3 linked regions of the Schizosaccharomyces pombe genome follow. The protein of the gene in region 3 interacts with the protein of the main gene of each other region in a biochemical or structural test. Each region holds a gene or a part of one and is shown on either strand. Other genes may lie near its edges.

What was found.
Region 1: the proteins of orc5 (region 3) and cdc18 form a complex in vitro, tested with the Schizosaccharomyces pombe proteins (one study listed by BioGRID).
Region 2: the proteins of orc5 (region 3) and orc4 form a complex in vitro, tested with the Schizosaccharomyces pombe proteins (4 studies listed by BioGRID).

Annotation. Positions count from the first base shown.
Region 1 is NC_003423.3:2,213,022-2,223,162, forward strand, and holds cdc18 (MCM loader), read right to left. Parts: upstream 4,964-10,141; 5' UTR 4,853-4,963; coding exon 3,119-4,852; 3' UTR 2,934-3,118; downstream 1-2,933. Other genes in the region: meu17 (glucan-alpha-1,4-glucosidase), read right to left, coding at 1-351; arc1 (ARP2/3 actin-organizing complex WD repeat subunit Sop2), read left to right, coding at 1,417-1,489, 1,537-2,597; protein tam10, read right to left, coding at 5,519-5,805, 5,853-5,914, 5,972-6,026, 6,073-6,175; mrpl24 (mitochondrial 54S ribosomal protein bL28m), read left to right, coding at 7,742-8,272; SPOM_SPBC14C8.11C (uncharacterized protein), read right to left, coding at 9,629-10,108. UniProt on the Schizosaccharomyces pombe protein: Part of the checkpoint control that prevents mitosis from occurring until S phase is completed. Plays a key role in coupling S phase to start and mitosis. Acts at the initiation of DNA replication and plays a major role in controlling the onset of S-phase.
Region 2 is NC_003423.3:2,021,281-2,032,820, reverse strand, and holds orc4 (origin recognition complex subunit Orc4), read right to left. Parts: upstream 7,434-11,540; 5' UTR 7,279-7,433; coding exon 4,360-7,278; 3' UTR 4,145-4,359; downstream 1-4,144. Other genes in the region: RNA polymerase II transcription elongation factor Ell1, read left to right, coding at 1,786-1,950, 2,026-2,234, 2,335-3,562; FRG1 family mRNA-processing protein, read right to left, coding at 7,932-8,052, 8,124-8,582, 8,643-8,762, 8,835-8,872. UniProt on the Schizosaccharomyces pombe protein: Component of the origin recognition complex (ORC) that binds origins of replication. It has a role in both chromosomal replication and mating type transcriptional silencing.
Region 3 is NC_003423.3:948,329-958,329, forward strand, and holds orc5 (origin recognition complex subunit Orc5), read right to left. Parts: upstream 5,990-10,001; 5' UTR 5,949-5,989; coding exon 5,592-5,948; exon of another isoform or gene 5,539-5,591; coding exon 5,464-5,538; exon of another isoform or gene 5,424-5,463; coding exon 4,488-5,423; 3' UTR 4,006-4,487; downstream 1-4,005. Other genes in the region: protein sds23, read left to right, coding at 2,553-3,779; Pex16 family peroxisome import protein, read right to left, coding at 6,873-6,886, 6,929-7,041, 7,107-7,664, 7,709-7,973, 8,016-8,160; scl1 (proteasome core particle subunit alpha 1), read left to right, coding at 9,330-10,001. UniProt on the Schizosaccharomyces pombe protein: Component of the origin recognition complex (ORC) that binds origins of replication. It has a role in both chromosomal replication and mating type transcriptional silencing.

The sequences.
Region 1 (10,141 bases), 1.3 Mb from region 3:
TTGGAGCCTGACCATTTCATCCATATATTTGACGATAATCGGCTCAAGTCCTTTGTCCCCTTCAAAGAAACGATCTAAAATAGTCATGATCGTCAATGCACTATCACGAACCCATTGATAATAGTAATCAGGGGAATCAGTTGAAGGGGAAGCAATAATACATCCAGGATTAATATCCTTAGCATGCATACCGCTGTCACCGATATTGTTCAGCATATGTCCCATAGCAATACCCTTTTGCTGATCCGTCCATTCATCCATAGAAGCTTCCTTGCTTCTTTTATTAGGGGAAAGTAAGCTTTCTGCAGATACGACCCCCCCAAGGAGTAAGAATAACCAGTATGTACGCATGTTGGAATTTAAAAGTATTGTAAAATTGGGTAGACTATACAAATATTGATGGCAATCGTGTTTAATTATATAGGCAAACGAATAAAAATATGCGCTTTAGTTAAAATTTAACTGGAATATTTGCTCTATATATGTCTTTTGCTTTGTTTATTAGTAAACAAAAACAGAGGGAATTACCATCAAAATCGATCATCATGCTGCGACACGAATGGACAAAACTAGACTATATAAGTTAGTAAATAAACAGAGTAAATGAATGTGATTGATCCTTTTTGGCTTATACTGAAAATTTGGCGAAGCAAGGATTACCAAAGAAAATGTATTTATTGTTTGTTTATTTTCAACACTTGCTTATAAAGTTTGATTCTATAGTATTCAGATCTATGATAATATGGAAGTGTGCATTCACCAATTACTTAAATAGCGACAAAATTTGTTGAATTGGAAAAAATCGACAGCACAGCTTTTAATATCAAATACGCTACTGAGTCTGAGTATAAGCAACAAGTGTGATCTTTTTAAATAATCATCGTTAAAAAGCACAAAATATAACTGTGATAATGGACAAGATGTCGCTGTCAAATTCTGAAGCAACGTTTCAGTTACTCCAGCAATCATTAAAACACATCTCTTTGTTGTAAAGGAGAATTATTGTATTATGCTCTTCGCCCTATTATTTATTCATTAATAAGAAAAATACTCAGAGAGCATCGTTCACTCACGATTGTCAAGACATTAAGATCTATTGTTCTTCCACAATCAACGCAAATAGAAATCTTGTATCCACCTCATATTTTAAAAATAAAAAATCTCTAAAAGATATGCAAGAAAATCAAATTTTATTTAATGGAATTTTTTTTAGTCTTAATTGAGTTGTAATATTTACAAACCTTTAAAATGTAAACAAAGGAGTTACCGATACCATCGATATGCGTTATCGTATATAAAGTACTCTAACGTTTTTTGTTAATGTATCTACTGCTCTCGTCATCACCAATATCGATTCAGCCTTGGATATCGTCTATCATCCGCAAAACAGTAGACTGCTAGTCCTGTTACTGAAAAATGGCTACCTCTCAAGTTTTACACATTCTTCCTAAACCCTCTTACGAACACGCGTTCAATAGTCAAAGAACAGGTACAGTATAGGACCTAAATAAGTAGATTTTAACAAATTTGATATAGAGTTTGTCACCACAACTGCTACGAACCAAGTTGAACTTTACGAGCAAGATGGAAATGGGTGGAAGCATGCCCGAACATTTAGCGATCACGATAAGATTGTAACTTGTGTCGATTGGGCTCCGAAATCCAATCGAATCGTAACTTGCTCTCAAGACCGTAATGCCTATGTTTATGAGAAACGTCCTGATGGGACTTGGAAGCAGACCCTCGTCTTACTTCGTTTGAATCGTGCCGCTACGTTTGTTCGTTGGTCGCCTAACGAGGACAAGTTTGCTGTTGGTAGTGGTGCTCGTGTCATTTCTGTTTGCTACTTTGAACAAGAAAATGACTGGTGGGTCAGCAAACATCTGAAACGTCCGCTTCGTAGTACCATTTTGTCTTTGGACTGGCATCCTAATAACGTTTTATTAGCTGCCGGCTGTGCAGACCGTAAGGCATACGTTTTATCTGCTTATGTTCGTGATGTCGATGCCAAACCAGAAGCCAGCGTTTGGGGTTCACGTTTACCTTTCAACACTGTTTGCGCTGAATACCCATCTGGTGGTTGGGTTCACGCCGTTGGATTTTCACCTTCGGGTAATGCCTTAGCGTATGCTGGCCATGATTCTTCTGTTACGATTGCATATCCCAGTGCTCCCGAGCAACCCCCACGAGCTCTAATTACTGTCAAATTATCTCAATTGCCTTTGCGTTCTCTTCTTTGGGCGAATGAGAGTGCCATTGTGGCTGCTGGCTATAACTATTCTCCTATTCTTTTGCAAGGCAATGAGTCCGGTTGGGCCCATACTCGCGATTTGGATGCCGGAACTTCCAAGACCTCATTCACTCACACAGGAAATACTGGTGAAGGTAGAGAGGAAGAGGGTCCTGTTTCATTTACTGCTCTTCGTAGCACATTCCGTAACATGGATTTGAAGGGCTCCAGCCAGTCTATTTCGTCTTTACCAACCGTTCATCAAAATATGATTGCAACCCTTCGACCTTACGCTGGGACTCCTGGCAATATTACTGCGTTTACCTCCAGCGGTACCGACGGACGTGTTGTTTTGTGGACTCTTTAGAAAAGATATCGGCAAATGAATCTTATCAAATCAATTATCGAATTTCCGTAGATGTTAATCTCATAGAATAAAAGAATTGAACAAGCTTTAGCTAGATATAGTAACTGTTATTCCGCAGCTTATATGATTACTATGTCGTCTTATAAATTTTTGTCAATCATATTCAGTTTTGTGTATATATTTTTTCTTAGAGACCCCAAAATTGAGAAGTGCTTTTGCTACGTAAGTTTACTTATACCACCACTTGAGACTGAACCACGGGTATGCGTTCTTACGAATAATCATTAGATATAACTTAGATTAAAGTGTTTATTAATTGTATAGTTAGTAAAATTAGTAAAGATCAACCTGAAAAGTTTAAACACCAAGTTGGATAAATAATATTGTTCAAATTTATGTAATCCAAACAACGAAATTGAAAGGATGTTCTAATTTGATCCTTTCGGCAAAATTTGAAAACCGTAACGCGTGAAATAAAAATATAATGAATAGAAAAAAAGAATGAGAAAGAAATGATAGTACTATCTTCTGTCAAAAAATCGTTTTAAGGTACCAATGTCTCCAACAGCTGTAATGACATCCATTTCTGGAACAAGCAAACTAATGATTCGGTCCTGAGGCTTTCCGTTACGCTGCTTCGTGCGCAAACGAATGATTGCAAGAGTTTCTAAAGAATTCGCGACATCGCAAAATTCCGAACTTGTTAATGGATAAATCAAACGATCTCGAAGACACAAAGAACTGTATTTTTCAAATACATCGGCAACACTCAATGAGGTTTTTTCACAAACAACAAGCGTACAAAGGATGGCTTTCTGTTGAAGACCAAGGTTTTTTAAACGAGCACTAGCAGATTGGCTCATAGCAGATGTCGCTCGGACAACATGAGCAATTGATGCTCTTGGTATATCAACAGAAGATAATGTGTTGTCATGTTGAGCTTTCCATTCTCTTTCCGCAAGTTCAATTGCATGCCTACATATGTCTAATGCTTTTCTCAAGTCACCACTTGAAGCTGCAACTTTCCGGGCACATAATTCAATTGCAGCAGGATGTATAAAAGGTGTTTCATCAGCATGCTGAGATACAACATTTATACTATCATCGCTTACTTCAGAGATTGATTTAATAGGAGTAAAAGGATTGTTTTTTTCTGATGTGGTAGCGGCGGTTTTCAAACGCGCTTTTATAATTGTTGAGATTTCTTGAGCAGTATAAGGCGTAAAAGAGAGTAATTTGGGAGTAATATGCTTTGTTCGTAAACGAGGGAGAAATCGATCTGTCATGTCTAAGGCATTTGCAATGCCTACCAAAATTAATCTCGAAGTCGGTCGAGAGGGCCATTCAAAAAGCGTGTACAGAACCTGCTGTTCGCGAGCAATCAAGTGATCCATTTCATCTAAAACAATAATGACTGGGTTATATAATTCATTGGCGGACTGGGTGAAATGCGACTCTAGTTCACATTGGAAATTGATGTGATGATCTTCATTTTCTAAAATTTCCTCTTTAACAATTTTAGAGTGAATTTTTTCAAAAATTGCTTTTGGTTCATTAATAGTCATACAATTAATGTAACAAACATTAACTTTGGGATAATCGCTCACTACATGATCCAGCACGTTGTGAAGCAGAACGGTCTTTCCTGTGCCAGGGGCACCACTTACGTACAATGCACCTCCAGCATTAGCATCAAGATGTTGACGAAAGAAAGATTCCACAATTGACTTCTCATTTTCACGACCCACGACTCCTGCTGAACGATATGATTTACGTAAACTCAATTTGGCAGTAGAATTATAGGACGGAGTGGAGGGTGTCGAAGGAGTGGGAGGAAAAAGTTGACGGTGAGGTGTCGATTGCAAAAGGCGAGTAGCAAATGGAACAGGATTACATGTACGATTTAATGATTTGGGTGTAACAATTTGAATGGTCCTTTTGGGGGTTTTAGGAGTTTGAGGTGTTGTGGGTAATTTAGGTTTCTTATTCTCCTTTAACTGAGCAGGAAAATTAGGATAAAGGTCAGTTTTCTCCTCTTGCAGTTCTCCTAGTTCATATTTTATTCTTTTTGTGGGTGTTTGGAAATGTGAGCTAGCCAGCGTACGTTTTCTGCTGGGTGTAGTCGGAATCTCTATTGAAAAGGAAGGTGAATGCTCCCTTTGATTAGTTTTGTTAGTACAGTCAATCAAGGCTGCAGAATCTATAAAACGATTGCATCTTCGAGGTGTATGACAACCTATTGGAGTTTCACACATATCGATACTTTATAGTAACCCCGTTTACTAATTATGTTATTTACCAATAGACAAGTCAGGTAAATTTGATAAAAGGGCTACTAAGTAATATTAACTTCGTGCTTGGTGTTTAAGTTTTGTTTAAGAGCAGATATGTCTTTTATAAATATACGCGACGCGACACGTAAACGCGAAATCTAATTAATCACGAAGAGTAAATGAGATGTCGCGTTCAACTCTACGTGTCGTGTCGCGTTCTACGCGCGAACCTTTTTACTCTATAAGTTTATATTCAGGTAATGATATTATTTTATAACGACTCATCCTCAAAGATATGAAATGCCTTCTCATATTCCAATTTAGTTACGACGTTAGTAAAATTAAAGTAAAAGACCCTAAATTCTTTTAATAAATTAGAAAATCTTTTTTCAATTATCCCTAAAGATAACAGAGGTCCCACGAACGAATTTTTGATGGACCATACCATCTTTGGTGCTAATGGCCAATAAAGCAAACAGCATTTCGATTAAAGAAAAGTAAACCTCTTACAATGTTCACTAAAATTGAATTTCATAGCAAAGTTTCCTCTAGTTTAGAATGCAAGTGAACACTTTAAGCTAGTTTAACAAAAGGAAGATGAGAATTTTGGTAATTATCCAAAAGAATAAACTAAACATAAACCCCAAATTACATGCCCAATCCCTTTTTTGTTCCTTTGTGTAAAACACCGTGCATATATTGTTGTTCTAGTTCTTTCTCTCTCTGCTTGTCATTTGTTTTATTAGATTGAGCAGACGGAGACGATTCAGTGATGGATGCAGCATTTTTTATACCCAACATTTTTAAAAATTTTGATTTTCGTTGATTTCCACCAGACAAACTCGCTGCAAGCCAGTAGTCAGTGTTTCCCTTATCCTGACTCCTACTTAACGAGTTTTTCATTTGATCATGATCATTTTCAGCTACGTTTTTTACTTTTCAGTGTTAACGAGCATTTACTGTTAATGCTTAATATACATACCCATAGGATCCTCCGCTAGAGTTTTGGTGTTTTTTATACTCGATCTTTCCCTTTCCTCTTTCCTGATACTATGTTAGAGTGGGAAGTAGTGATTTAATAAAAAGCATTAAAAAACATACTTAAGCTTTTTAACTTTATGCTTTAGCTTTTTGTATTGTTTTAACTCTTTTTCATCTGAACACTCATGTTAATGAAATTTAAAGAAACTTGCCCAACATACCGAGTTTTTTTTTTTCCTTTGATGAAAGCTTTCGAAAAGTAGAAACATCTGTTCCAAAAGGATGGATTTGCTTATCCTTCTTTGAGGATTTGGAGCTTCCCATTTTTTTTTTAGACCGTGGCGTTGGTGGAATTCCAATAGAGATAAAATCGTAAACAAATGAGCCAAATAAGCAATACCCTTAGACAGCTCGGAGTTTTATCTTTTTTCGTAAAAAAGTTTATGGATCTGAATACATTTCTAAACATTATAGTTAAGCTGCATATAGCCATCTATTGAGTACCAAAAATCTGTTCCGTTTTTGGAAAACATCTAGATAGATCGGTTGGCAATCAATTATTCTTCTTTTTCTACATCTTTTATGATCTTTGATGCTTCCTTGTGGTCCACTGAAGCTTCTGATTCAATTGTCTCAGGCGTCTCAACGGAAATAGCTGATGACGCTTTCATAGAAGGGACATTCACATTAGGTTCTTTAGCATTAGTCATTTTCTCTTCTAATTTATTTACTTCTTTTTTTTTATCTTTTTGATTCTTTTCCTGTAGTTCGGATCGCAAAGAAGATATCATACTGTTTCTGCTCTGCAACAACATATCAAGAATTTCAAGACTTTTTCCGTGATAGTCAACTTCATGAAGTAAGGGTCTATTTAGAGTTTTCCTTAAAAGATTAACAGTTTTGTCTTTAGCGGTAATTTGTCGTATTCTCTGATCCAACAGTGAACTTGATCTTGACGAACTTTGGCGGAGTAGACCTGTCTCCGTCCTCAGGAGTTGCTTTTTTCTTTCTTCCTCTAGTACTGATTTGTATTTATCAATTGACTGTTTGGCTGTATGGTGATATGCTGAAAGCGAACAGGACCCAGCAATTGTCCTCCATACCATCGGACGCAAACGACCATTCCATAGACATCTTCTTTTCGCAACACGTTTAGAAGCTTTTGTCCTGAGTATTCTTCCCCGTCATCATTAAAAGCCTCTATCTCATTGGGAAAACGCCAAGCTTGCATTTTATGATTGCAATGCTTTAAGTCGGCAGATTCTTGAAACATAAATCTATATACTGGGAGCATTTTTGGATCTTTAGACGGGACAAAGTAAGATAAAAATGTTGATTCTCTATCTGTAATTAAATTGGACATATAGGAGCATTCTTGTAAGGATTGCTTAGGAACCGCTAATGAGATCCCTTCATTGCCAAATTTAAGTTGAGATTGGCGCTTGTTCATATCATATCAATTCTTTCTTTGGAATAGTGGAATTAAATTTAAAAACTATGAGAAAAACATTGATTTAATTCAATTTCAAATCAGATTACGGCAAGGTGCACTTGTTGAGTTGGATGGTCCCATGAAAATTGCATTACAATCTCAATATAGATTACACTTTCAAGATTTACAAACTATTTTTTTTATCGATTTACGAATTTCTGAACGTATGGTTAGCTCGAAAATCCCATTTTGGTCGAAGCAAACGATGCAAATAGATACTAGGTAGATAATGGTAAACACCGACAATTTTAAATATTTTTTGGACAAATATATATAAACTTTTTTTTTTCTCCTGCTAAATTAATATGGGTCAACAAAAATTCGGATAGCGTTTTCCTGCAGAAACATAACTCGTTTACCAAGACCACTTTTGGTATTGACAACGCAATTTTTTAATAATGGCAAGTAAATTGCTTAGAAAGTTGGCATACCCAACTCTACCTGTAAAAGGAAAGATATATGATCCTTTTAGCAAGTTTCAACAAAATTTATATGGTGGGTCGAAAACCGAAGCTGGTAACAACAAAATCCCCAAGTTTGGACATAAAACGCGCCGTGTATGGATACCAAACGGTCATTCTAAATGGTTGTATTCAAATGTTTTAGAAGAAAAGTTTCATTTGTATGTCACGTCCCGAGTTTTGCGGACCATTGACAAGGAAGGCGGTCTTGACGAGTATCTTGTAAAGTCAACGCCTTCACGCCTTAAATCATTAGGACTGAGAGGAGTAGAATTGAGAGCATTGGTACTACATAAATTGGGTGCTAAAAACCCCATTCTTGAAAAGCTTCCTTCCGATTCAGGCGCACAGAAACGATACCTCGAAAAGGTTAAGGATGTGGTACTTAAATTAAATCGCAGCAAGAAGTTATACCAACAAATTAAAAGTTTAGTTGGAAAGGAACGATCGGTCAATACGTCTGTGTAACTTATAATTGCACCGCCTTGAAGTTGATTTATGAGTAGCTTGATTACTCTTGTGAGCTAAAGTTTTAATGAACAAATTTACGTTTTCAATCTTTCTATGATCGATCAGTTAACTGGGTTACTCATGGATTTAGCAACAATGTAGTAGTAATGCGTTACAATTAATTTGCCATGGTACGATGTTTATAACTTTCCTTTACATTTTTTTCCAAAAAGGTTACAATATTATCTTCTCTCTCTTATCCTTAAAAATTTTTGAGAAGAAATCATATCATGGAACTTATTTGTTTTATGTTTTTATAACTGGTCTTACAAGCGAGACAGAAGAGGACTTGCCTGATTTGTTTTCCAACTTGTGTTTTGTGATAAACCTTATAGTTCCAATTTTACTTATTTAAATGAATTATCTTAATTATTACTTTAATATTGACTTACCGAAGTTTTTTTCACTGGTTCCTGTGCATCCTCATATGTTTTTTGCTTCGAATTTCTGGAGTATCGGGGTTCAAGTAATATGGATCAATTCTCTCATGCATTTATTTTTGCATTCGCACATTTTGGTCTCATTTTTCAACAAAATATCTTTTCCCGTTTCAATAAATTCATTCAATGCCAATTACGGAGTCTGTAGAATAGTTAATGATTCGTTTGAATATGGGGGATAATAGATATTTATTGTGTAAACATTGATATCAGTTCCCATCTAGGCGTAGTTTTCTATCACTATAAAAGGTCTTGAAATTGAAAAAAAAGAAGTCATGACTGCTGGCCTTGAGAGCTTGTTCACTTTGGTTCTTGTGATGACAATGCGATCCATCTGACAAAACGGATGTATTGCTTTAGAGAGTATCCGATCAAAAAAAAAATTGTTCCTTGCTCATAACAGATTAGCCTAAATTAGAACAGAAAATATAATCAAGATCCTCTATGCGCCAAGTGATTAAATTTGATTGCTGCAAGTTGATTCAATTTCACAATAACAAATCCTATTCCAAAAAAACTGTTTCAGCTTTCTATTCATTTTATTATACTGATAAGGCATATTGTCTGGGCGCTCTTTCCTTTATTTAAACTGTCTACACAGAGTGTACGAAAGATGTTGAGCACATTGAAGTTGACAAAAATGTTCCTTGGATTACAAACTCATATTTGTCGTGATTTATTAGCCAAGCTTTTGGTTGCTAAATACAACCCAATAATCTAGGGACATTGAATTTTTTATAGGTTTTGTAACAGTACCTTTATGGCAAACCTGTTTTTCATTTTGACTTAAAGCAGCTACAAATGATAAACACCAAGTATCAATTGGGACAGTGAGCGAGTGATCCAACAAAAATTCACACAATTTAAGTCAATACTATATATTCAGGAGTTTAGGTGTAGCTGTTTTGAATCCCTTACTCGTTCCAGATATGTATTCCCTAGCGGAAATGTGTTGAGTATCTGCTGATATGGATTTCATACTTGGTTCAGCAAAACAATTTTGTGCTGCATCGTCTTTTCCAAAATTGGGAAAGCTTAGTATGCCAAATTTAATATTGCATTCCCAAGTTGTACTGCCTAGCCTGTCTGCTGATACGAATTTTACTGTGTGCCCAGCATGTAAACAGTTAGCAGAGAAATGTGCCATATCAGCATTTCCTCCATTCGGTAACTTATGAGCGTCAAAAGTTGTCCAGTATAAATATATATTTTCCCTATTGCGTACGTGACATACAGATCTTGGGGTTCGAATACCAAAATGACTATTAACAGCGTTCTTAGCCATATTAATGATGAACAGTATGCTTATAATACCGACTTTTAAAATTTTGGTGATAATATCATCAAATTGCATCAGAGAAATAGATAAAAGTTTCGACTGTAAATT
Region 2 (11,540 bases), 1.1 Mb from region 3:
TCGTAATTAGCAACTTGCGTTAAAATTCATGTAGTAGTAAGTCGACTTGATAATGTAGTTATGTAGTTTTATTTTATAAAAATAGATTTTTGCGAATAATCGTCGAGCATTCCGTTCAATTCATTCAATCACTGCGAGGGTTTATCGGGTTAATCTTCTGTAAGGAATATCGGCTTTTATGGAGTTAAAAATTGGTATGAACATTTTCCATTTGCATAAGCGAAAAAAACACGAATGTTTGTTTATTGAAATCGTTCGCACGATAGTGGAAACCAAAACATATATGGCAAAAAGCCTACAGCACCCCGGATTCCCATGTTGTCTCCAACCATAGTACTAACGAGGCCCTCAGACGCTTAACTGCAGTGATCGGACGGGAACTGGTGTTTTCGCCTAGGTATGGCCGTAGACGTTTGTCAAAAAATTTAACAAGATATATAGTGTAAGAAAAGATAAGAGGTATTTTAAATTTTGTTAAAAGCTTCAACATGATTTTTGAAAGAATTTTCAATGAGCACAATAATAAAATAACTGGTAGTACTCGTTTAACTGTGTATATACAAAATATATTTACACAAAAATATATCCGGTCAGGGAGGGACTCGAACCCTCGACCTCACGATTAACAGTCGTGCGCAATAACCAACTATGCTACCCGACCTTGGATGTCTGTAGATATATTTTAAACATATATATCTTCTATGCTTTAAACCTAGTCATTACTTTTGTCTTAATACCAGTTATTCTGAATCATCAAGTATTTCGGAACTTTAGTTATACTATATTTGTATTAGTAACATGAATTTTAAAGGATAGATAATTCCACTCAGAAGAAGACTGTTTCTAGACTATAAATATATTCACTATGTAGTAAACATATGTAAAGATTCAATGAAAAACAAATGGTTCGTTATTCGATTTGAATTAAATGAAATTAACAAATTATCATAAAAACAATCTAAATAATTGCGTAGTTTGATAAACACGAATAACAGGACCAGCAAGTAAAATCAAAAAAAAATCTGTGGTTAATTAAACAGCTTTATATTGGCTCATTTAACCTGATAAATTAATGTACTAAAGACCTTTTTTTTGTTTGAAATTATAAATACCACAGTTCGTCAACAAAAGTGAATTCAATTATGGAATAATTGGCAAAATTTGTAAAGCATCATTGTTTTCAATTCAGTAGAGTTTTCAAGAAGTCATTGATTAAATAAGTCTAAAAGATTCACTAGTTCATCAATAAATTTCTGGTCCCGTAACCCTATTCCGCCGCTTAGAATTTCGAACCTAACGGAAATTTATTTTTTTAGAAAAATATGATTTACTTATATCTAGATAGTAAACTAAGGACGCAAGCTCAAATTTGTTCAGCATCGCTCCCTAATTCTCATTTTTCCACTGTTACTAAAAACTGAACTATGTAAACCAAAGTCCGATATTCATCTCAAAAAATAGTACACTGTCACATATGAGCTAAAAGGACATAAAAAGAAATATTTTTTTACACCAAAGCTGCAACTTGTTTCTTTGAATTTCGAATGTTTACATTATTCTTTCCATTTAGCGATACGCTGCTTATTCCTATTGTACACCACCAATATGTGCTACTTTTTGTTACTTAGCTCTAGCTAGGTTTCATACATAAGGTGCATCTTTATGTTAGTCCACCTTCTTATCCCTTTACCGTACTTACTGGCTTCTTAAACAAGCTTCTCCGTTGTGCCATCTAGCTAATATAATCATTTTGAGAGGCTTTTACTATCGATCTATTTGGGTTGAATGATTAGGAACAGTAGCATTTCTGATGCTCTACCTGTAGCATTAGGCGGAAATGAAGAAGAATCGCCTTTATTGATGCTGGTACAATTACCCAAAGAGTTTCTCGAAGGATATCTTTCAGGAACGATAACAGACGTGAGCTTGGAATGCAGTGATGTTGGTACTGTATGTGTGGGCATTTGTGAAGAGCGATAAAGAAGAATGAATTTTGAATGTTGCTAACCAATATACTTTTTTTAGTCAATATTAGCGAACGATAGGTCTTACAAATGCACTTCCGTTCCAGAAACTGCTCCGCATGAGATTTACAGACTGGTGGACTCGAATTCGTTACAACTGGTTGGCCGTGTCTCACAAAAGCTACAGCTTCGTAGAGAGCTCGACAGTTTAACTGCTGAGCGAGTGAAAAATCGTACGCAGGAAGCTCAAAAGGAAAAAGAAGAAAAAAGGTATGAAAAGAACGACAATAGTATCAACCAATTCTATGGATTGGAAGAAGTTACTTTCAATCTTTCTCTTTTCAAATTATGCTAATATTTGTAAAAATAGAATTGTTACCCTTCAAAATGATGGTGGTTCAAAAAATACAACTGCTAGGAAGCAAAAGCAGTTAAAAAAAAATGGACTCAGGCCTCTCAATACAAGTGCTTCACGAATTGGTCTTTCCTCTTCTCCCACAAATACACCTTCCCCAAACCTTCCCGTCTCGCAACCGTCTGCATCACCACATTATTCTGGTGATAAAAACTCGGCCAAAGGCATTGATCTTCGTACTCGTGTTATCCAACTTTTGGCAATCGCTCCCGAAACTGAAGATTTTCTTCGTTTAAGAACAAAGGCGTCACTTTCCAAATTACAAGCGTTATTACCAGAAGTCGCTTGGAAGAACAACATGAATCAATGGGAGCTCCTTAATCCTGTGTATAAAGATGTACGAGTCTTTGATTGGCGTCCTTATAGTATTGCAGACAGGAATGCCGTTCTAAGTCGTATGTCCAATGCATTCGACAACATGCAATTGCCTCCTGATGCTCCTGAACGTTCACTTTTAGTGTCAAAACAAAAAAACATTACTAAACTCAACAATGAAAAACGAATTCCTCCCCAATTGGCCCAACCCACTTCTCATGTTCCTTCATTCATTGACACTAACTCTCCTTCAATGCCTTCTATTTCCTCGGTTTCTTCTTATCAACAACAACACCGCATACCCAAGCTCAACGCTTCAAACTATTCTCCCTTGCTTTCCCCCTCCTCACACCGAAAAACATCGGGAAATCTTTCTCGTACTGGTTCAGAAAGCTCTGCCGTTTCATTAAGCGATACAACAAACTTAAATACTCCTATCTCCGACATTCCTTCACCTGGCTCTTCCACTACTTGCTCCAATCTTTCATCTCCACATATCAAACGAAAAAGTCGTTCTCCTCCGCAATCCTTGCCTTCCACCCCGTTTCCTACGTCTTCGTCTTCTACCAACGGCACTCTTGAACCCAATGCAAACTCTCCCAAGAAGAATGAACAAGATGCATGGATAGCTAAAAAGCGTCGTCAACAACGTTACACTACAGAAGAAATGCGAGCATTGGCAAAAAGATTTCGGGAAACTTATCCGCGTTATAAGAATTTATATTTAAAAGTCTCTTCATATTATGATAATAATGATACTAATAATCCTAATTTAAACAAGCTCCAAGATGAACTTATATCTCTACATTCTCAGCTCAAAAGCTGGAAAAATACACTTTACGATGCTTCCTCGGAGCTAGCCCTCTAACTTTTCTCAATAAATTTCCGGTTTTCTTAACACTCAGTTTTATTTCCAATGTTTTATAAAGGTGACGGTTATCTCAGCTTCAATTCAAAATTGTTTCAATACTGTACGGTGCCTACAACGAGTGCAGGCTGTTTTTTCCTGCTTTCGTTAAGGCTAGTGTTTCGTTTAAAAGATAAATTGGTTAAATTCATATTCAATTAGCAGTTTATTGAATATTAGTTTGTTTTTGATTTTATAATGAGAATCTTGTTATTGTGATGCTTTTTTTAAACTTTTATGACATATCTTTAAGTTAGTTAAACTGCGTGAATTCCTTATGTGCTATCACTTTTTTTTGGGCTTAAAAGTACCACTGATGAGTCCTTTCGTTTAATCTAATTTATTTTGTTTTTCTTACCACCTTTCATGAAATATTCCGCCAAAATTTTTTTTCTACATTAGTACAAAGTGACCCTGAAACAAAAACTATCATTAAAATGTTTAGGTATTCATTGATCCGTTGATTACTGATTTACCTTCATAAGTCATCTAATATAAATATTTGGAGACCAGCTTCTTTCACAGCTTAACCAGCGCTGATAGCAAAAAAGTAAATTCTATTTTCGTTTATCAGAAGCAAATATTTAATCAATTAAAATTAAAACTTTTATTTATCAAATATCGGTAATAACTACAATGTGTAATGGTATATAACCTTCAACACGGTCGTCCTTATTTTTGCCTTTCTTATATTGTTTTATTTAAAAAGGATACAAAGTTAATAAAATACAACAGAAACAAAAAAAATTGCAATTCTTTTATATAACCTCCTTAAGCCAGCGGTAATAATGCGATGGCAAACGTCGATGTTCACGCAAACCTACAGAAACTACATTGATATCCACTTCTGGCTGCCATAGTTGGCATTGTCTAGAAAGGGCACCACTAACATTAGTAGAAGGGTGAACCGGTATAATCAATCCTATAGACCCTAAAGTTTCCCATGCTTCCAAAGCAACATCCCTTCCCCATAATCGACTGCTATGAGCTAGAGCTCCCGATGCTGCGGCATTTATAACGGAAGATTGATGCAGTTGTCGATATTCTTGATAAGCACTATTAAAGTTGCAAGCTGGAATATCCCTAGCTTCAAAGCGAACTGCACAAATCAATAAAGCCAACTCCAACAAACTTAAATTCTTTACAAGTTCAACCTTATGGTCAGAAACTTTGAGACTGATATTGGCGAAGTCTTCATCAGCAAGTAATGGACGATCAGGTGCCATGGAAAGTATGGGAAATAATAAATCAACATACAATAATTTTAAATTTCTGCTTGCAAAATAGTGATGTTGTACCAATTTATGTAAGTGACTTCGTGTATCGGAAAGCAATTCATCCACTCTCTGGTTCCAGCATGTTATTATTTGGTCTTTTCCGCCTTCGTCAGAAACATACAAAACAGATTTTAAAATTTGCTCAAATTCACTAAGCGAAGAAGGTGGTCGCATGGGAATTACCATGTGACTAAACCTACTTTTTACTCGCTTTTCAAGTGATTCAGAACAATCATAGCGAGTAGTCAAGCCTATGATCAGTATCGGGGCTTTCCTCGATTGAGCAATGTCAAACAAGTTATACAAGAGCATTTGCCGTGAATGCTGAACAAACAGGTCAAACTCTTCTAAAACAAATATCACGGCTGCAGACGTTGTCATTACGTCTTCTGCAATTCCCAAATCCACGGGATGAGACAATGTAGCTAACAATTTTGTAAGTGTATCAGAAAAGTTCATTTCTGATTTTAATGCTTCATCAGACTCGATAGATTCAAGTTCAATAGATAATTGTCGCGATATTTCACGCAAAGCTAGTTTGTCATCTGTCTGGTACGTACCATTCAATCTTACGACATAACTTTTTTCATTTATTTCCTGAGCTGCGCGTGATAGTATATCATCCACGAGAACTGATTTTCCAGAACCCCGTGGACCGACAATAATGACAGAATTACCTTCGCCAAGTACTATAGTTTGTCGGACCCATTGATAAAGCTTTGTCTGTTCATCCATATGTCCTACAAGAGGGATATGGCTTTTCCCACACAACCTTGCAGCAATCGTAGATTTAATAGTATGTAACTGTGAGTCAATTTCAGAATATGGGACGTCATTAAATACAGACTCAACGACAGGATTAGGATAAAGTTTATGCTGACTCTTTTTAGGAGAAATAATAGCAACTTCGAAATTAGGTTTTTTGGGAGGAGGTGTAAATTGAGATTGTCGAAGAAGGGGTAATCTGTCAGATGAAGGAAGTAGTGGAGAAACTGAATTGGGTGATGAAGATTCGGATTGCGGAGTTGCTGAAGAGGAGTGAACAGAGGAATCGGTTAAACCAGGTGTGATATTACGAATTTCCGCATTCTCTTGACGCTTTTTCGGTGGTCGTCCACGTTTTCTAGGAAGCAACGGAGCTGATTCTCGCTGTTGATTATTAAGGAACTGTTGATTATTAGGAGATGTAATAGCAAAATGTTTAAGTGACAACGCGTCTGAGTCATGAAGCATATCCTCATGTTTTCTAGTAAAGGCGCTTAAAGGTACAATTCCACTAGCTATTTTTGGAGGTCTACCACGCTTTCTTTTAAAAAGGGATTGTGATTTTGAATCTAAAGGCAAGCCACTCGGTCTTTCAAGGCGAGGTCTTCCTCTACCTCGTTTGGGTCTATTTTCATCTATTTTATTTTCAGTACTTGTCCCAAAAAGTATCTTGGGCTTATTTAAAGGAGGTCGTCCACGTTTCCGCTTTACTGGGACGTCTGCAGTAGAAAATAAAGGTTGATCTGTGACTACAACTTCCTTCCGTATTTCAGATTGTGGATTCAATGAATAGAATTCAGAAGAAGATTGTTCATTTTCTGGATTCAACTGTGAATGAGTATGTAGATTTGTACCTGTCGATTCAACCGTTACATTATTCGAAATTGGAGTATTTGCAATCTTCTGTTCAGATCGATGTAAAGGTGGACGCCCGCGCCCTCTTTTCGCAGGTAATACTACCAAAGGAGAAAGCCCATTTTGACTTGAGCTCCCTTCTTCTGGTTTTATTTTTCGAGGTCGTCCACGCCCTCTCTTTGGCTTCAGCTCACTTAAATTGGCATGCCCTTCGGCAAAACCTTCTATGATATTCGGCTCATCTAACCCCATCTGTAGATTATTTTGAGTTGTTCCCTCATCTACAGACGGTTGCACTACTGGGAGAGGATGTAAACGAGGACGTCCTCTACCTCTTTTAGGCTTTAAGGGATCATCTAGTTTTGTGGAAGGAGAAGAACTTTTTATTTTTGGAGGTCTGCCACGCTTCCGTTTGATTATAGGCTCCGATCCTTCGTCAATTGGTTTTGGTGGATATTTTCGAGGTCTTCCACGTCTGCGAGGAGCTTCATTGAGACGCAAAGGTGAAGGTGAAGGCGGAGCTAAAGTCGTAGTTGAAATATTATTATCCTGAAATAAAGTGACAGCGGCAATATCTTGCAATTTTGCTTGAGAGGCAGTTAATCCATTATTTGCATCATCATTCGTAGAATTGGGATACTGCTGATCATCATTACCACTTGATAAATTTTGAACATTTGAGGTCTCATTAGTTATGTTTGTCTGGTATTCATTTTCCTTATTTTCATAGATTGCTTCTGTGTCCAAATTCCCAAGATTTGTGAATGGGGATGAGCTCATATTAAAAACTTGAAGATGCACATCCCTATGGTTTTTATACACTGTAAAAATAATGATCCTCTAAATTTAGCCTTTTTATTAACAAATGCAATTAATTGGTCTCTTTTCTAATTATTTTTTTCAATTTCCTCTTGACTTGACAGATGCAGGGTGTTACTTCGATTCTTGGTAAAGGTGAGCAGTAAGATTGGCGTACAGCCTTAAGGACAGGGCCAGTATAGAAATATATTTTTGAAGCTGAAATAATGACTAGGTAATAGTAGTAATAATCTAAAACTATTTTAATCTTTTTCAAGCGATGCTGATGACTATAATTATTTACTTGTTGCATTTATTTGTAAAACCATACATGTATGAAGGGAATGAATTTCAACAGATTCATTAAATATTCATTTTTTATTAAAAAAAAATAGTTCGTTAAAATTAAGGAATGAAGTAAAACACTTCACTTTTGAAATGAGTAATTACCATAAAGCTTTGTAAATTCATACATAAAAGTAGTGAATAGCTGAAAGGAGTCTCAATAGCTATACAAGGTGCCTAAAATTCAAGAGAAAAAATCAAATCTGTTTTTGCTAGCTTTGGTCCAGCAGGTAATCGTACATTAATCAGTAAGTCAAGATATTAATGGTTTATCAAGAATATCCGAAAAATTAACCATATTTGTCGCTCCTTGAAGATACTCGTAAATCTAGTAATGCTTCATGAAGAACTCCTTCCTTAAACGCTTTTTTGAGGGTCTTTTTTTCATCGGTAGAAAGTTTTCTTCCAGCCCTGTAAAATTACAAAGTTAGAATGACGAAAGTAGAAGGGAAACCCCAATAAAATAGAATAGCATAACTTACATAGATTCTAATTGTCTGGAATGTATGGTTGGGTTGTCAAATAAAGAAGACTTGTTTTTCTTTAGGAAACGAGTTTGTACTCGAATTCTCCATTTGGCTTCAGGAATGACAGTGTCAGAGACACATGCAATGGCCTGATCTTGTTTTTCTCTACTTAATGTTAAATATTTTTTCGTTGATACACTTTTCCAAGCCCAAAATCCTGAGCCCAGATTCTCCGCTATCCATTGTTCCTGTGATCCTACCGCCTCTTGCGTACAATACAAGTCTCCAGACTTACTACATGACATGTATTTACCTAAACAGCTTTTCAATAGTATAGTATTGTTCAGTATGGATAACAAAAACACCTGGCGCGTCAATTCTGGCTCTAGCGAAACTTTGTCGAGGGGAAGAAGAACGCAACTTTCTTTAACTTCTTCAATTCCAAGAGATACACCAGCATCATCGTCTATTTTACTACATAAAGTTGTAAGTAAATTAGAAAAAAAGGTATAAGAATATTGAAGTTAAGCTTACTATATAACCGCTGGACCCTCAAGCTCATTTAGCTCGTTTGCGTCCGTCCAAAAAGGATCGTTTTCAGCTGATTCTAGAGAAGATTGAAGTGATTTTGTGTTCTTTTTTTTCTTCTTTTGACTGATTTCTTGTTAGTGATGAACAATATAATATGAATTACCACATTCGAGCAGTTATTTCATTTTATCTTACATCTTTTTGTCTCCCTTGAAAGTTAATCGCATAGACATTTTACCATCAGTAAATTACCAAGAATTTAAACGATTAAAAATCCTTAAAAATGATAATTGTTAATAATGGATAATGACTAAATATTTATGCGTGGTTTTCGAGGAAAAAGCAAGTAGTGGGAGTAGTGTTAAGGATTTGAACAGACCAGATGCTTCTTCGTGCTGAAATCCAATATGTTCTGAGGAATAGGCAAGGTACTCTTAGCAAAACAAAAGAGGTTCAAACGTTTTTAATAAGCAAGGAAATGCTTTATATGAATAGAAATGTTCTGTTGCTCACAATGTGACTTTTGTGACCCATGCTAATGTTGGTTTGTAAAATGGATGATTTGCATAACATTCTAATGGCTTGAGAAAGAAAAAAAATGTGCTTAATTGAATGATAATTTTGAATATAGATGAGAGAAGAAGTATGCACCGAAGACTAGCATTGTTCAATACCAAAAACATTCGTTGAAGGACGAGTCATATTCCAAAAAAGGAAGTCCATTGATGACAATAAGAATTTTTTTTTGCTTATTCAGTTGAAAGCTTACAAAAGATGAGCACTGTTTCAATTTACTTATTACTATGTGAATAAGTGTAGCCATAATACCTGCATATTAAAAACAGCACAAAAGTGGATGAAAATATTTGAGTGATAAAAAAACAATAGTATTAATTTTGTTATTTAATCTATTAACTTGATTATTGTTGTACAAATGAACTTGGAAATTCCAAAACATTCAAAAAAAAAAAAAAAAAAAAAAAAAAAACTAACTCGTTAGTTAATAAGGTTATTTTTTAACGACTTTTACATTCATCTAAACCAAATGCTGAAACATGAAAATTTTAATGTTTGTAATAAAATAAATATTTTTAAAAAATAAATAATAAATATAAGAATTTATTTTTATCTAATATACTAACCATATGCGTAATATGTTAGTTTCTTAATCACGGTGAATAAATTTCTTTTTTTTTTTTTTTTTTTTTTTTTCTTAAAAAATTTTTAATCAAAAAATTATTGCTGATGGCAAATAAAAACAATGGTTTAATTATTAATGCAAGTGCGCAATTTTTCATTATTGGTTTTGATATATAAATTGAGGCCACGTGAATATCTAGTAAATATGGAAAATCTACAATTTCGTTTTGGACACAATTAAGCAAACATTGGTAACAATTGAACGGATGTATGGACTTGATAAATAATATGATAAGCCTCAACCACATAAAAATAAAATTTAAATAAATAAATAAATAATATTAAGAATATACATATAAGGAATTTCAGCAATATAATTCAATAGCTTTCCATTAATATGCTCAGTGAATAAATATAAATATAAATATTTATCTGTTAACTTTTAGTTGCCAAACAATGTTTTAAACCACAAATTCAGCAATTAATGTTCTTCTTGAGCATAAGCTCGCAAATTATTATTTAATTTTTTTTTTAATTTAGCATATGCATTCATTATTCCGATATGGCCATTTCTTTGCAATGAAATTAGGTGGCACGCATTGGAGTCCAATTGGTGAAAGTAATGATTCATTAAAGTCCAAATGGGCTGAGTGCTAAATTTGCTCAGAATTGAATAATTAAATTAATTGTTGATTGTCACACAATCGCCATCGCTAGACAATACAATTCCATACTGATCGCAAAGCTGGTCAGGAACCCGACCATTCTAATATGGTTTATCTCAATCCATAGAAGGATGGGTAAAAATAGGTCAATATTAGAGCGCAATTTTAATTGTGCGAAACAACAAATGAAAGAAAAAGACTAAAGAAATAGAAAAAAATTGACTTAGTTATTACAACTTCTGCGATCTTGTAAACATTGATGTAACATAACATGCTGCCCTGATTTTACTATTACTATTACTCTAAGTACGACCTAATAATTGCATGTGGCCAGCTCCATGCGGTACTGTCTAGAAATCCTTAAAATAATATTGTTAGATATATTTAAAATATACAGCGATATCCATCCAAAAGAGAGCACAAAGGAAAGATCCCCGCTACCAGTCAGTTTGCCTTTGTTGAATTAGCAGCCTTCTCATTAAACCCCTTTTACGAATTTTACTGGACGCAAGCGTACACCCGTGCAGATTGCAACAGCTCACTTTGACCTTCCTTTCCTCCAATTCGCTCCGACTTTCCTATCATAAACCAATCAAAATCTGTCTACTTTGCATTAAACTTTAGAGTACGCTTTTGCTCTCATGGTTTCCACCACTCAGAGCCCGTCATCTCTAGAATCAAAAGTTTCGTTAACGAATAATCTGTCCTGAATGACTTTTTTTTAACCAATTATAAACGCTCTCAGGAAACCCTAACCTCGACGTTCCTTTATATACAACACCTGACAACCCGTTGTTTACTACAACTACCTTTTATTAACTACGCCTTTTTTTTGGATAAAAAATTTCTGAGTGTCGGATCTTGGTCAGTCGGAGTGGTTTAAGTACTTTCTTGTCTTTCTTTTAATATATACATACTTCAACTACTTGTTGGTCTTCTGATCCGGTTCCACGTCCGTTCTTTCTTACTCTCGTTGTTGTTGTGTTAAATCCAACTTTTCACCTTCGTTTCTTTACTAAAATACCCACTTTCTTTTTACTCTCTCTCTCTTTGTGTTTTCGGTTCTTTAGCCTTTACTCTCGTCACACTCTTACTT
Region 3 (10,001 bases):
AAATGTAGAAATTTTATACATGAGAATATGTTAAACAAAGGACAAAATCTAATAATGTCTGCTTAAGACTGGTAGGTACATGTCATAGAAATAATTTACAACGTATATCAATTAATTCAATTGAGAGAATATCTAGTACGAAACGTTAAGTGCTTGTTTAATATGCGCCTGAAGTTTTTGTTTGGCTTGAGCTTTGTTTACATAGCAAGGACAAGACAGAAGCTATTATGGTATTTAGTGGAAATTCATTGTTTAATAAAGTGCGCAGCATTATATCAGATTTCCAACGTATTTTAATATTCGATAATGTATTAATGATCAATTAAAGAAACTCTAACTAATTTTTCAATTGGTAATTCGTTATTTGTAATGATTCATTTATAGATTTATTTTATTTTTTTTTATTTTTTTTTTAATTTTTTTTTTACACTAAGCTACTGGCAGTTTGTACGTTAAGCAAATACAAAGTCGCACGTGGGTGTTTTACCAAAAAGAATTGCGAGTGAATAGGATAAAATGGACGATGAATTTGTAGATTTTTTTTACTACAATTAATCAATGAAAGGAGTAAAAATTTAAAAAAAAAAAATAAAAAATAAATAAAAAATAAAATTAAATAAAGGACAAGATGAAAACTTATTATATGAATTATGGATTTACTTTATTTTATGCTCTTACAAACCGTAACTGGACTGCTGGAATTTCTTCTACTAGATGAGCGTCTATTTGTGTCCTATATATTTAAATTTTATTTTCTCAAATTACATATATATATCAATATGTTATTTCGATTATTTTCGATTTTAATTTTGATATTTTGGAAATTCACTTTATCTTCTACATAATCGCATTTCCTATATCAATCATCATCATCATTTGGACATCTTGGATCCGCTAATTATAGTAACGTTGTATTTTCACTTCATATATCACACTTTACCATTTAACTTTCTTATGGTACGTCGAGTGAGACACAATCGATACCTTGTGTTCTTCAATAGCTATTCCCACAGCACATGAGTCTTTTTACGTAACCCAATAACCTCTTCCCCGGAGTGATCTGTAGCGGACCATTTACTCAATATTGAAACTTTTTAATTACCACGTTGAATCACAAATTGCCAACAAAACACAAGCGCTTTATTTATTAAACGCATCTGACGTTTCAGTATGTGAATTTCTATTACTAGTAGTATGGTATTTTGTCGCACTTCAAATTTGGCCACCGTTACTATATGAGACGAAGCAATACGTAGCAGTAATGTATTTAGTACTCATTTATCAATGAAAAAGATCAAAACAAGAGATTAACTGAGTGATATTCAATAGGATTTGCTAAGTGAAGAGATGATCAAACATTTAATGCTGACTTGGTCATCTCCAACCTATATTACATAGATTTGATTTCTCCATGTTTGGGGAGAGAAATTAGACGAAGGGGTGGATTTTCATTCGTTTCTTCGACAAATAAGTCTTGAGCAAAAGTCCACTCAAAATTCGAATGATGTATAGCGCTATAGCAGTGGTAGAAATATCTGTTGTTTATGATTGCCAATTTTGCTAAGCAATGGTAATGATGATCATCTGTGTAAGTACTATGTATAATAATTAGAGAACTGAGTACCCAATATTATAGCATGCATTATTATGCTTACAGTACGAGATTACTCTCAAACTAACTAATAAAATTAATTACTTGATGACTTGACTTATCTATTCTCCTGCCAAATTATCAAACAACATAAAGAGTAAATTTTAATTTTTTTTTCAAGATTGGGTAGATGCTGTTCGGTATCGCAACGTTGAATTATGTATGTTTCATACTGCGTCTTAATATTATTTAGTACATATGAATGTGTTGACTTTGTTCATCCATAACTCTAATTCAAAAGCATTTTTAACAAACAAAGCGCTTTATTGCTCCATAGGCGCGCCTCGTTTCATCTAATCACTTCATCGTTGCACACAAATTTTTGTTTGCCTTTTTGCAATGACAAAATTAGGATTTTGTTGTGCAAAACCGACCTACACTGCATCTACAACTAGAGCAGCTGCCCCACTTTCCCACTTTATGAACAAGGAAAAACGTCCGATTAACCGCTTGGCTATTTTTCTCTCATACTAAATCCATCCTTATGTTTAATTTTAATTTTTAAATTTTTAAAAAAGAATAAAAATTTTTTTGCCTAGTTTTACCTTGCTGGGATGAAAGCGGGCAAGCAATGAAATAGTGGTTGATTGTGATGTAAATACTGAAATCGCAGATTATGAAATTTTTAACTAGGCCACATACATGGTGGATTAATTAGGTAGACGGTGGTATACGGCGGGATTTACAGAGATCTCAGTCTAATGTGGTAAAGAGGTCGTGGATTAAAAAAGCCTTACCACTGCGTACCCCTATTTCGTTGTATCACTAGGTACTTCCGTCACTGCCTACCTCAACGCTATCCAGAACCACACACTGACCTAGATTTGACAAACTGCACGGTACAGTAAGTTTTGTTGTATGCAGAGGAAAGAAAGAGATTTTAACTGGAAAACTGTATAGAATGCCTTTGTCAACTCAATCGTCTGATTCTTTATCGAGCGCTGGACGTCAGTCCTTTGGCGTGAACTCGGTCTCAGATTTTTTGGCACAATTTCCCATTCCCACTAATCTTCCTTCAAATAAATGGCAAGATATCCCTGTAACATTTCTTCATGATAATGAAATTGCTCTCATAGACCCGGAAACTTCCATGGAAGAGGCAAGTTCCATTTTGATCGACCGAGATCTTAGCGCCTTGCCTATTGTTGCTGCTAAGGGAAGCAACGAGATTGCTACGACCTTTGACTATGCAGATCTTAACTCATTTTTGCTCATGGTAGTGGGTTTTGATGATTTCAATGATGGCAGGTTTAAAAAGGTCGCTGAAGATATTCGTGCTGGAAAAGTCATTACTGCTTATGAGGTTGCAAAACTCGGGAAAAACAAGGATGACTTTATCACCATCCCTCACACCACCAGCCTTGGACGTCTCGCTGAGATTCTTTCTTCCGGTATTCGTCGTGTTGCCGTCACTAACGAACAGGGTGAATTGAGCTTTATGGCTTCTCAGCGCTCTATCATCCGCTTTTTGTGGAATAATATTCGTGCGTTTCCCGATTTGGAGCCTCTAATGTCCAGGACAATTCACTCTTTGGACATTGGAAGCACTGACATCACCTGTATCTCTGGAGATCAAAAAGTCGCCGCGGCCTTGCGACAGATGAATCAAACCGGTATTGGTTCACTTGCTGTTGTCGATGCTCAATTCCGGTTACTTGGCAACATATCTCTCGTTGATGTTAAATACGTTACACGTTCTTCTTCTGTCTATTTGTTAAACAAATCATGTGCTCACTTTTTGAGTGTCATTAAAAGCGAACAGGGTATCCGCGCTGGTAAGGATAGTGCTCCTGCTTTTAACATCTATGAATCCTCTACTTTTGCTTTTACGTTGGCTAAGTTGGTGGCTACCCAATGTCATCGTCTTTGGCTTGTGCAGTCACCTTCCTGCCCTCCTTCCCCAAAAAATAACGCACATCTTTCCCCTGGATCCATGGGTGGTGTTAAGGTCAATCAATTGTTGGGCGTTGTTAGCTTAACTGATATCATATCTGTTTTATATGCTCACATGAAAGGCACTCTTCCACCCGCTCCCCATAGTGCTCCTTCGCTTAGACATGGACGTCGAGGAAGCACAAGCAGCCATCGTAGCCATAGCAAAGCTAGTGTAGATACACAACGTCGGTGATGCTAAATATTTGATGATTTGAAACACCCTTTTTTCTTTTTCTCATTTGAACCTCCGTTTTATTTCATCTTTTACTGTTACCTCTAACATTCCATATTTCATGAACGGGTTTTGATACTTATTTTTAATCATCTTTAAATGGATAAGATTTTGGTTAAATCTCCAATGATTTCTTATTAACCATTAAAAATATACTTTTACTTATGTTTTGACGTTAACTGACGGACGCTTTTCTTTATACATATGTTCTTATTAATGAATTGTCTCCCGTTGTTGATTTACACGGCAGCAGAGTAGCTCTTTCAGAGGGTTAACTTTTATATCAGAGTTATGATTGAAACTTTGCCTCTTGATATATATTATGTATCCATCTTAGCAGCACATTACTTTATTTTTTTGTCAAGAGTGTTTTCGGCGCTAGTTTTTGCTTTTTACAGCTTTGCCAACTTCCATAATGTTAAATACGTAACAGTTTACACAGAATCACAGAGGCGTAATCGAATTGTTTGTAGTGTACATTTTCTTTTATTTTCCAGAAGTAACAAAAAAAAATATGTTTTTTAAGTTTTGGGCCCTTTAAACAGTAAAATAACATGTTATGGGGAGATAGAATGGATGTTCATATAGTTCTGTATAAATTAATGAATTGTGACAGAACTACGATATTCAAAATTTCAGTAATGCAATAAAATAAACCATAATACTAAGCTATCCCGCCAAATAACTATCGAGAGGAAACGAAAGTGAATCTGCGATTTTTAATACATATTCGCGAGAGACATTGACAATGTATCTAGGGCTATCCAAAGAGCGAAGCACACCTTTGGAAGCCGAAAGTATCATTTTTAAGGAGGCGAGTGTAGCTATTTGAACAAAAACATCAGCGGTCAGAACTTTCTCTACCGGGGAAGAAATGGCATAATAAATAGCAATCAACCTTTCTACTTCAAAAGGTTTAGGTCCTAATGTAAGTTGGGATATTTTTACAGCAGACCGGCCTTTGCTCCCAGCGGTTCTTGGTATTTTGGAAAATAAAACCCCTTCATCTTGAATTTGTTTACGTTTTCTTCCACGTCGTTTCGAAGTTTTAGAAAATGAAAAAAATTGGGCGTCTAACCGGCTTGGATTATAAGATGCTAGGAATGCAGAAACGAGTAAATATTTGGAAACGAGCGACAAGTTAATAGATTTGGAATCAAGAAGATTTTTTATTTCAGTCGGGTTGATTATGTGAAGTCTTTTAGTAACCGTAGCATCTGACACTAAAAAGTTTTTAGCCAGCTTGTGAAGTTGAGCATAATCAGCAGGATGTATGTCTCCTTCAACTATAGGTTGAATGAACTTTGGCCAATATCTATCCAAAACACTACGAAAAGACCTATAGTCATTTAAGCACTGCACTCCAAAAACACTCCAAAGAAACGAGCAATATTGCATCCAGACGCTGAGCTCAATTTCGTCTTCAAAAACACTATCGCCAGATCTATCCAAAAAATCTAAATTAGGAGGTGTTTTTTGGCATATCTCTAATATTTCCGCTTGGGTATATTGTGGGAAAAAAATCACTGCAATAGACAATGTTCCCAAGTATTGAGCAGGGTGAGAATGAAGTACAAAAATGATTGACAGATTGGGAATGTTTGCCTAAAATAGTTAATCAGTGGGTCTGTAAATATTTACTTACAACAATCGGAAGCTGAGCTAATTGTGAGAATAGAATAGTAGAAGCCTCAGCGAAATCATCTATTTGATCCAGCACCTATAACTCATATTAGTATTTAAGAGTAATAAAATAGGAGAGGAACTAAGTACCAAAAATGTATGATAGTCCCTTTTGGACATTGCCTGTTCCAGTAAATAAATAAATCCACTGATATTAATGCCTTTTTTTAATGCTATATCTTTGTCAACACCGACTTTTATAAGGATCCGGTACCAGAAATGAGCGACTGTAAAACAGTCTTGCAAATTAATCCAAACATTTTCTTCTTTTGACAAATCAAAAGCGGTCCGCAATAAAAAAGTCTTTGCTGTACTAGCAACTCCGTAAAGCACAATGCTTGGAACACGACAATCCTTATTAAAAAGTAAACATGAAAGTTTCTTTATTTGATCTTCCCTGCAAAAGACATTCTTTTTTAATTCGTCTTCCAACTGATACAAATGCATTTCATGGCAATATGCTTATGCTTTGGCATATGGTGTCGTGCAGTGAAACATTCATCGCTCGAAGCAAAAACTAGTGGACTAATTTATACAAATAAACGAAAGGTAATTAATGGAAAACGAAGAATAATATTCGTACATTTCAAATACAATTTAAACTTTGGAATTATTGAAATCTTAATTGATTGTTTACTATAAGCGTTGTACTTGGTTCAAGGTGTATTTTATTGAGAAGCCTTGTCGTAACAAAATGTGCTTAAACAGTTATTCTAAAATAGAATTATAAAATTTTATTTTTTGTAATATATTTGATTAATAGTAGTAAAGAACAGAAGTTCGTTTCGCTTGAGTTATTAGAAGTTTTCTTTCTCCTAGCTAATTCACTTTCAATACTAACTTCTTCACCGCTAATGCATAGCCAAAATTATTTTTGAATAAATGGCCTAGTGCGGAGTACGTAGAATTAAATATTGCTTAGATTTAATTTGTAATCTAGCCGTTAACTGTTTTAAGTATGTTATTAAAAAAATCAAAATGCATTTTTTAGTAATTGATATGAACTCATCATAATATCCGAATTTCAGTGTATTACATCTTTTCCTTTGTCTGAATTTAACACAGCATTCTTTAGTTGTGAAATTTAAAGTCTTATTTAAACCTTACATATCTGCACCGCAGATTTCAGATACTGATTGACTCATGTATGGATAACGTTGCTAATCTTCGTAGCATGCAATGTTGAAGCTTTTGCTTTATTTTCGATAAAAGTGTACTGAGTTTTATAGAAGAATGAAGACTAATCATCAAAGCAACAAAAGACGTAGTAGATAAATGAAATACTAACAATACTGAAATCAAGAGAGAGAAAAACACCGAGTTAAATAAATAAGAAAAGGATTTCTATAGGTTCTGGTCATCAAGGCTTCCTTAATAGTTTCTAACTGAATGAAAGGTTAGTAGCAGTAAAAATATCAATATCATACCAGAGGATATATAATTTTCGAGACTTTTTTGTCTTTCCTCAACTGAAAGAAGTAGATATTTACCAAAAACGGGTATTGAATTAACCCAGCTTAGGGAACGATTTATCCAGTGTCTAAATTAGTTAGTGAGTTGAAAAACGACATTTTGTTATAAAAACCTTTCAAATAAATTACATACTTGGTAAACTCATCATAAAATCGTCCTTGAGTAAACGCCCAAACCACAAAATGCTGAAACTGACTTTGATTTGTCCGGCGTTCTAGTCCAAACCCCTGGCGACTAGAAGTCGCTGATTCACATCTTCGATCAATTAATTGAGAAATAACTTCAAAAACAAACGCTACAATCCAAGGCCCCCAAGGTCGAACTTTAAGAGAACTCGATTTTTGCTTTCTTTTCCAATGCCACATAAACAACATATAGATAAGCGGACGACAAACTTTAATAAAATTAGAAAAAATCCGTAGATTGGGAAGTCTTTTTGTAAAAATCTCATCTGGTAGAATTGAAGAAAGACGTGGAGTTCGGTTTTGCAAGAAGTCAAGCGATGAATTGACTGTATTAAGTCTGGGAACAACTTTCTTGGAGTTTTTTAACACAACAGCACTTCCTGAATTAGAGTATTTCTTGTGAAGATGAATGAAAGTCTTTACATTGAAATCGCGCTGCAATACAGGATTAGAGAGCGGAAGATCACCTCCAGTAGTCCACATAATGTGAACCCGAAGTAAAAATCTAATATTTGTTAACAATTTTAATCGAAAAGTAGATTTCCGTACTTGACTGATTCCAAGAATAGGACAGAATCATACTGTCTTGATGGATTGTATTTAGAAATTACAAGCTCGATGGGGAACGTCGATATGTTTAGAAAGTATAGAAGTTCCGATACTTTTTCGAAGGAAGGATTCTTTTTTCTGAAATATTCTAAGTACTGAGTACGTTCACTTTTCAAAATTGCTTGCTCTGTTTTTGGTAACTCAGCAATTTTACGAAACAGTAAGCCAGTATGGAATTGATGAAGTAGTAGTAAAATAGATGTGACTAAACAAAAGGTTAGATTACAACAAATAGCTAAATCCATACTTGTCTGTGATTTAAGTTGATCATCACGAAATTCCGCTGGCAACAAATAAGCTGCATAGCTAAGCAATCTTTCTATTTCAGTAACTTTAAGAAATGACTTCTCATCCTTTAAAAGTTGATCTTCATAATATGCTAAAGGTTTCATTTTATGTCCCAAATGACTCGTCAGTATAAATAATAAACTTGGTTGCTTATTATACACAGAAGAAAAAAGGGAAACAGTTTTTTAGTAAAATGATAAGGTAATTAATTTTCGAAGTTATGAAGAATATATGCAGAGCTCACAACCAAAACAAAAAGAAGCTTTAAATCTTAGGTATACTAACAACCATAAATGGGTATTGTGATGAGCAAAGAAGTCCCTATATATGAAAAAAAAAACTAATTAAAAGGATACGGGGTATTATTTCCTGAAATTACTAAAACCTGGTACAAATTCGCAATTGCGTAGGTTTGGGCGTGGGCATCTGCAGATCTTGTTGAAACATCCATTGCTAATAAATTCAAACTCACTATGGTTAAATGCTTAGCATATGACTGAGTCTTATAACTTCAAATGATAGCTATATTCATTTATTTATTTTTTTTATTTTGTTGTATTTTCAGTAATTGCAATTTCTTCGTTAAAATTATCATATAGTTATTCATTAACAATGCTTTAGTTGTTTATCATTTAAACCATTTTATAGTATTTTTCTTCTGCTTGATTTATAAATTTTTAGTTTTTGGATTGTGTTAAGTTTTTTAATTCTAGCAAAACAATAAAATCGAATGCATAAATATTTTATATTTTGAGTTTCTAACAATTTATTTCTACATTTGTGATTTCATCTCAGAAAAACCATAATTTATTAATTTAAACGAATATCATTCCTAGAGGTTTAGTCTTTCATATCACATACAATGCCATCTTACATTTTTTCTTAGCATAGCTATTTTTTTTTCTCGAAATTTGAATTTTTTAATTAATCAACCAATCGAGCATCCTTTTCAATTATACTTTTTAATTATTTTTTGTAAGCTCAATGTCAATTCGTCGTGGGCAGCAAGTTTCGCATAGACTAAACTATATACTCAAAAAGTTGGATATTCCTATTCTAATAGATTAGATAATAAAATTAAAGTGGGAAATATCAGAAAATCAATAACTCATTCTTTTTCAATTGAATATAGTTTAATATGTTCGACATGCATCTGTTTACATTATAAAGAGTCGTAACGCAAAATATAGCGAAATCGAAGAAGCTCTTGTGCGTGTACTAATGTTCCACAATTACTAAGTTTCAGGTTATAAACCTACTACTACCAACTACGATGTCTCAAGCACGCGGATTTGATAGGACAATTACCGTCTTCTCCCCTGAAGGACGTCTTTATCAAGTTGAATATGCATTCAAAGCGTTTAATAACGCAGGGATTACATCTGTTGGTGTAACAGGTAAAAATTGTGCATGTGTAATCTCCCAAAAAAAAGTACCTGACAAACTTATTGATGCCTCTACCGTTAAACATGTTTTTCCTATTACTAAAGGAATCGGCTGTGTTATGACAGGCTCTATCGCGGACGCTCGCGCGCAAGTTAGCCGGGCTCGAAGTGAGGCTGCTGAATTTGAATACAAAAATGGATACCCTATGCCCTGCGATGTTCTAGCCAAAAGAATGGCTAATATTGCTCAAGTTTCTACCCAACGTGCTGCTATGAGGCCTTTGGGAGTTGCAATGACCCTTGTAGCTGTGGATGATGAGATTGGACCTTCCCTATTTAAGCTCGACCCTGCTGGTTTCTATATTGGTTATAAAGCTACCAGTGCTGGACCAAAGCAAACGGAAACTATAAACTGGCTAGAAAAACGATTCAAAAAGGACGGAATACCTTCAAACCTTACTGATACCGTTGAAACCGGAATTCAGGCTTTAATGAGTAGTTTAAGTACTGATTTTAAGTCTACTGAGCTTCAGATTGGTGTTGTTGAAGACGACAAACCA